Linked DNA regions of Mus musculus. The protein of the gene in region 1 interacts with the protein of each later gene in a biochemical or structural test. Links are inferred from orthologs where the notes say so. Each region holds a gene or a part of one and is shown in the gene's direction. Other genes may lie near its edges.

The links.
Region 2: the proteins of Nfe2 (region 1) and Mafg form a complex in vitro, tested with the Homo sapiens proteins (2 studies listed by BioGRID and IntAct, with this or other methods). The link is inferred for Mus musculus from reciprocal best matches to the Homo sapiens genes NFE2 and MAFG.

The regions. Positions count from the first base shown.
Region 1 is NC_000081.6:103,249,996-103,252,667, reverse strand, and holds part of Nfe2 (transcription factor NF-E2 45 kDa subunit), read left to right. Parts: exon of another isoform or gene 1-261; intron 262-914; exon of another isoform or gene 915-1,181; coding exon of another isoform or gene 1,182-1,221; exon of another isoform or gene 1,222-1,470; intron 1,471-1,569; coding exon of another isoform or gene 1,570-1,625; coding exon 1,626-1,739; intron 1,740-2,672. UniProt on the Homo sapiens protein: Component of the NF-E2 complex essential for regulating erythroid and megakaryocytic maturation and differentiation. Binds to the hypersensitive site 2 (HS2) of the beta-globin control region (LCR).
Region 2 is NC_000077.6:120,630,643-120,635,231, reverse strand, and holds the start of Mafg (transcription factor MafG), read left to right. Parts: upstream 1-1,684; 5' UTR 1,685-1,870; exon of another isoform or gene 1,871-4,589. UniProt on the Homo sapiens protein: Since they lack a putative transactivation domain, the small Mafs behave as transcriptional repressors when they dimerize among themselves.

The DNA.
Region 1 (2,672 bases):
TAAAGTCATACAATTTGAGGTCATACAGCCCTATCCTCTGGTCTTCTGTAAGGCGTTTCTTTTATTTATATGATGTGTAGTGTGGATGTGAATGTATGTACATGCTGTGCTGTCTGGCCCTGAGATATCAGGAGAACCTTGCCAAGTCTACTTGAAATCTATTTGGACACAAAGAAAACAGATTCAGATAGAGATGGTATCAGGGAATATGGAGGCAGGATGAGGAGAGAGATGGACCAAGAGGAGATGATGAAAACCACGGTAAGAGTTTGCAAATGACCAGGCTGTAAGGGTTCAAGTTGGCTTGTCTAACCTTCTGGCTTTACTACTGGGAGAACTAACCAGGAACAGTGAGGTGTCTTACCCAACACCACACTGCTGCTTTGCAGCAGAGCTGAAAGCTAGAACCCAGATTAAAAAGAGGGACAGAAGGAGAGCCCAAAGTGATATTGCCCAGAAGAGAAAAGGGCCTGAGACACTATGGGAACTTGCTAAGGTAAATTGCTTGTAGTGGCGTGGGTTGTGGATAGTCAGCACTTTGGGAACCAAAGGAGCTTAGAATGCAGCAATGGATGTGATCAGGTTCCAACCTGCCATCTATTCAGTATCTGCCTGTAGGATCTGCCTTTACAGGGTCTTTGTGAAGCCCAGCCTAATATGCTTTTAAAATGCATAAAAGTCTTGACAAGTGCTTGCTTAAATCTTTGTTGAGTGTTGACCTTGGAAGAGAGAGGAGCCCTGGTTATGCTGGGTGGGACATGACCAAATGACCTTGTTGGGATAAAGGGTAAAGGTCCAGTGTCTCCTGGAGCCCATTCCTCCTCTGCCTCTGCTGCCTGCAGCTGATAAACCCCTTATCTGGCCCAGGCAGGGGAACCTAAAGTAAGGATGGGAGGAGAGGGAAGGGTTGCTATCACCGGCAGGCTTGGGGCCTATCTCAGAGAAGGGGAGGGGCTGTCTGACTAACACTTCCCACAACACACTCCTTGAGGATCTCTAAGCACTCACTTCTTGGGAAGAAAGGGCTGAAATACTAGGTGTGGTGGTACATGCCTTTAATTCCAGCACTTGGGAGGCAGAGGCAGTCGGATCTCTGTGAGCTAGAAGCCAGCCTGGTCTACATAGCAAGTTCTAGGACACAGCCAGGGACACATAGCGAGACCTTGTTTTAAAAAACAACAATGAAAGGGTTAGACCCTACGCTGAGGACACAAGAAGAAGGCAAGGGTGACTCTTGATGTTTTCTTCCAGAATGGAAAATGAAATTTCAATCCCCAAACCTGAGAAAGACTGGATTTTGTCTCTGGACAGGAATACCATTTTTAGGGAGTAAGAGAAGGCAACTTGCTGAGAAAAAGTAAGGATACCTACTCTGTGTCCAGAGGACTGACTATGGTCAGATCAGGTGAGGTAGAGAGTACTCCACTGAAGAAAAGAACATTACAGTTCATAGGGTGGTTGATGGCACCTGTGAGTCACTGACAACGCTCCTTTCTCCTGGAAATTCTGCACGAGGACAACCTCTGACTTGGTGGGAGCAACTCTAATACCTTTCTTTCTTCAACACAGGTTGCAGGAATCCTTTGTGCTTGTGGAGACCTGGGGCCATCAGCTGGCACAGTAGGATGCCCCCGTGTCCTCCTCAGCAGAACAGGAACAGGTTATCACAGCTGCCTGTTGGGGAGCTTGGAGAGATGGAACTGACTTGGCAAGAGATCATGTCCATTACTGAGCTGCAGGTGAGTAGGGGGTGGGCTCTTGCCTGGCCAGAAGCAGAGAGTAGGGGGGCAATGAGGAACACCAGGGGGAAGGGAAGACTCTGGCTGGGGTTGTAGGCTTCTGTCCAGCTGCTCTGCTTACATCTCTCTCTACCATTCTCTGCTCTACTCCTCCCTTTTATCTTCTCATCTGATCCGATTCTCTTCCAGCTCTGTCCATCTTCCCTCATTACCACTCCTCGTCCTTAGCAACAAACTCTTTTTCTCCAGGTAGCAGAGCCTTAGTTAAAGGGCCTCAGAAAGGGGAGATAGACTGTGCTGGGGTCCTCTCCTCCTGAATGTAGGACAAAGGGGTGTCTGTTGGTCTAACAATGGTGCCTTTGTCCTCAGCTAGGCTTGAGCAGGATAGCTCCACTAAGTAAGTTGGGGGCCTTGTTTGTAATATGTGTTCTCCTCCTCACTGCACCTGGGACTGGACAGAGAGTGAACCCTCAGCTTGGGCTCTGTGCCTGCTTCCACCTCAGGATCTGCCCTTAGACCCTCCCTCCACACACTGGCTCCCTCTGCTGGGCACCCAGGGAATGGCAAAGTCCTGAACTTGACCCTTTGACTCTAGATAGCCACAGCAGAAAAGGGTTCTGAGAGTCCATCTTGGATAATAATGACCTTGTCTTCCTGAAGAAAATAACGGAACAGGAGCCATTTGGCTTGAGGAGACTTTGTAACCAGTTCAATGTGAGGTTGTCTTCTGAGGTTTCAACAGTGACTTTTATTCCTGCTTAAACAGCCTTTTCCTCTTCACTACCCTTTTCCTTCTTTTTCCTGTCTTCCTCCCTTCCTCTCTTCCTCTCGATACAGGATTTCTTTCTTTATCTCTCTTTCTTTCTTTCTTTCTTTCTTTCTTTCTTTCTTTCTTTCTTTCTTTCTTTCTTTCTTTTTCTTTCTTTCTTTCTC
Region 2 (4,589 bases), on another chromosome or scaffold:
TTGCTGCTGACCAACAGAGCCTATAGACTAAGACCCTATCTCATAACTAGAACAAGAACAAAGGGAGGGAGGATGAAGATAAGTAACAGAAACCCAGAGGTCTTGTCTCAGGGGTTTTATTGCCATGAAGAGACTCCATTCGGCAGCTCTTCTAAAGGAAAACATCTCATTGGGTCTGGCTTACGCTTTCAGAGGTTTAATCCATTATTGTCATGGAGAGTAGCAAGACTGAATCAGGGCCGACTTGCTGCTGGAGGATGGGCTTAGTTAGAGTTCTGCATTCTGAAGGCTGCAAGAAACTGTAAGTCACACACGGGCATAGCTTGAGTATATAAGACCTCAAAGCCTGTCCCCACAGAGACAATCGTCTTCCAACAAGACCACACCTCCTAATAGTGCCATTCCCTATGGGCCAAGCATTTAGACACGGCATTTAGAATTCATGCAGGCCATTTCTATTCAAACCACCACAAGGCATAAGGAGTAATTCTCTGTATTCTGAGACTCTGGCTACAGCCAGTGAAAGATAAAAGCTCCCCCCCCCCCACTCCCCAAAGAAATACAATGTAAAGAATTACTTTTTGAGGCTGGGTGTGGTGGCACATGTTTTTAATCCCAGCACTAGAGAGGCAGAGGCAGTCGGATCTCTGAGAGTTTGGGGCCAGCCTGGTCTAAACCTTGTCTCAAGAAACCAAATTTGACACAAAGGACACACACAGGCCCCCTCCAGCCTGCTTACCCCCTTTTCCTTGTCACCTATGTTACAGAACGAGTCACCTTTTCACGATTCCCAGAGAAGACAGGGTCAAATAGAACGTTCAGAACCTCGAAATGAAAACTTGATCCCTCCTACTTTCCTTCTTTTTTACTTTTTCAACAGCAGCGAGAAGTCTCACAGAAAAAGTAGCAGCAGAATGCACCCAAAGTAGTTTCAAATGCGGCAGAGAAGGGTTGGGCAAAGTGCACAACTCCTACAGTGCACGCACACTACCCGAAGAGATGGTCCACGGCCGCAGGTGAAGCCCCTAGCACCCTCCGGAGATTAGAATCATTAGTGAGCGTCCTCCAAGCCTTCGTGTCATCGTGGATAGTTTGGGGATCTGAGCTGGGGTTGGGGCTGTGCCCCTCAACAGCCGTGTCCTTTTCAGACTGCTGACCCATTTAGAATGAGGACGTCGCAGCAGAACGGGGTAAGGAACTAAATCACTGTGTCACACCTTCAAAACAGCAAATAGGTTCCCGCGTGGTGACGCTCATCTGTGAGTTCCGCTTTCAGGGGGCCGAGGCAGGAGCATCTCAGGGAATTGAAATCCAGTCTGCTCGCTGTACAGTGAAACTATGCATCCAAGTGAAGAAAATCAAACAAACCTCCCATAGACCTCGGTCTGAGTTGGTGTGGAGATCGGGAGGGAGCTAGAGGCATCCGAGTTGGGGCCACTCCGTAGAACCTGTCTCTGCAGGAGCACGGTCAACCCGGCGAGCGCCGGGACGACTCCCGCGAGACATTGCCAGGGCGCGGCGGGCGTTGCCAAGGGCAACGGCGCGGGGCTGCGCAGGCGTGATGGGGGCGCGCTCGCCTTGCTGCCGCCTCGCCTTTCCCTTTAAGCTTAGGCCAGCCGCGTCGCCGCTTCATGAATGGAACCCACGTGACCAAACATCATGTGACGTCTGAGGAGCGGCGGCGGCGGCGGATTCTGAGCCCGGTCCGGCCCGGCCTTCCCAGCGCGCTTGGCCCGGCCCGCGCAGGCGGCCAGTCCTCCTAAGCCCCCGGCCCGGACCCTTCGCGCCCGCCCCAGCCCCGCGCAGCCCCGGAGCGCGCGCGCGCGGCCCCGCCCCAGCCCCGCCTTGGCCCGCCCGGGCCCGCAGTGTGGTGAGTGCGCGGGGCTGGGGCGGGCGGCGGGGCCTGGCCTCGGGGTTGCGGCGCACCCGACGGCAGCGCGTGCCTTGGTTTCCCCGCCAGCCGGCTGTTCGCCTGTGTCCCCCTAGAGCCGGCGGACCGGGCGACCGCGAGGCTGGGGACGGGCGTGCGCGCGGCGGCGGACCCCGGGTGCCCTGCGGGGGGCGCGATTTAAGGGCGAGCTGCGCGCGTCTGCCCGGGTCAGCGGGGTGGCCGCACCGAGCTGCTGACTCATCAGGTGTCCGTCGGCTTCCGCGCGGGCGGGGTCGCGCGCGGGCCCACAGGGGAGGCGGCGGGGAGACCCTGCTGCGCGGCTTGGGCTCGCCACGCGGGTGCGAGCCCAGCGGAGACGTGCTGAGTCATCAGCATGAGGTCACTCGGTGCTCCTGCTGACGCTGGGCCAGGGCGGGGGGCCGGGGCCCGCTATCGGCCGGTCTAGTCGGGAGACAGGGCTCGATCCGGGTGGTGAAGGTCGGGCCGGGATCCGGGGTCGTGTTTAAGTTTGACAGACCTGTGAGTTGGAGGCAAAGGCTCCGAAGGAGGCATTGCAGGGGCGCGCCGCAGGTTTCTCCCGGGGTGGAAGGTAAAGCCCCGGGCGTGCGCATCCTTGCCTGGTTCTTGGGCTCCTGGCCCGGGTCCCACAACTGGGGCAGTTCCCCAAACCCGGAGACCGATCGGTGTACGCTGAGGGGAGGAGCTTAGGTGGGCCGAGCCAGCTCGTCTGGGAAGCAAGCTTTCCTTCTCTGTGACCCTGAATGGCCAGGCTTCGTCGGTCCTAGATGGGGAAGACCGGGAGGCAGGGGGAGAAGGGTCTGTGGCTTGAAAGAAGCTGGGGCAGCTCTAACCAGCTAAGGAGAGCAGAGTGTGGATCTAGGCAGCTGGTGAGAGTTTTTGAGGTGCAACCATGGAGTAGAAGATGTAGTTTTATTTATCCCAATGTTATTCCTTTCAGAAGAGTTTGGGGTCCCACTGTTGCCTGGAGTTACCAAAAAGTGTGTGTGCCCTGTTGGGTGTCTGGAGACTCTTGGGAGGTGACAGTTTTGTGGGGTGTGGCTGAATGGCTGTTTACTGACTTATCTGTCGTGAAGGTTCTTGAACTCCATCCTACTGCTTTCCTTGCCCAGGGATTCATGTCTAGACTGTGCTTACCTTGTGGTTTGTGCTAAGGGATGTCCCCTTAACCCTGAGCCCTGAGGCTGCTCATAGGTGCAGTGTTTTTTTCATTTGGTGTGGAACTTGCCCTATGAAACTTCAAGGTTCCAGAAAATTGTTAAACTCCGGAGGCACTGTGCTTCAGTGAACTTAATGTTTTCCGTTCTCTTCAAACAATGTCAGTACCTGAAGGAGAGAAGACCTACGTAGGGGGTCTCCTGCATTGAGGTTTACAGGCAAGGTTTAGCAAGGAAGGGTCACTATCTTGCTTGAGACTAATGTCCAGATTGTCTAGTGTGAGAGGACAGAGGTGCCCAAACCCCTTCTTTAAGGGTCAGCCTGAATGAGTGGTCCAGAGCCCCTTGGTGTCTTGAGTCTGTCCATAACTGTGAGTACTTGGAGGGCTGAGTTGGAGGCAGCAGGTCCAGATCAGCTTCTCTGAGCTTCTTCCTCAGGCTCTGGAAAGCTCTCTAAACTGTATCCCTCAGCACAGCTGTCCCCCCCAGAACTGTCTGCCTAGTCACTGTGTCCCTAGGTTTGCAGAAGCCAGGCAGGTAGCTGGAAGAATTGGCTTTCCTGAGACCTGCCCTTCCCCCTTAAGCACACATGCGTATAAACATGTACACACACTCGCTCTAACACACACACATTCTCTCTCTCTCTCTCTCTCTCTCTCTCTCTCTCTCTCTCTCTCTCTCTCTCTCTCTCTCTCTCTCTCTCTCTCTCGTGCACCTTTGATCAGGAGGCAGTTGGCTGCACTTGTGCTGAGTTCAGGCCTTTGGTGGAGGTAAAATCTGTTGAGAAGGCACTTTTCAGCTCCCAGCCGCCACACTCTGCACTTTCCTGTGCGATCTCAGGAAGTCACCGTTTTGAGCTCAGCAGTCTGTATAAGGGAAGCTCCTGCCAGGACTGTCCCCTCACCTCGACTTATGCTCCTAGTGTGAGTATAGGGCCAACTTGTAAGAAAGACAGATGCCCTTCAGACCTCTAGATCTGAGTTCTGCCTTTCTCTTTGATCTAGCAGTACTGTTGCCTCTGAAAATGCTCCTAATCTAGTCCTGTAGATTTAGTCCTGGTTTGCTTGCTCAGTGTTTGCATGTAGCCACACCTCCTGTTCAAAGCTAAAAGCAGTAGGGTAAAGCTAATGAGAATGTGTTAGTTCCTTTGATAAGATGAACCAACTCCCCATCCAGCACATTTTTGCCTGAAGTGCTCACAGACCTGCAGCAACCTCACTTCCCTCATTTCCCTGCACCTAACCTGGAAAGGAGAGGATGTGCCTGTGGGACTGGTGGGTGTTGGGCTAAGTGGGGATTCCCAGCCTAGGTACACAAGAATGTCCTTGGCAAGGCTTTAGAAAGCTGAAAATGAGGTTGAGCCCGGAGGGGCGGCTGACTGTAGGAGGGACCTGTTTTGCTTTTGTTCCCTGGCCCTGTGGTCACTGACCCTAGGCAGAGAGCCAAAGACCAGTCAGTGACCTGAAGGGGCTGGCTCTTGCCTGCTTCCAGCTAACAGTGCTCTTCCTCTGCTAATTGTGGGA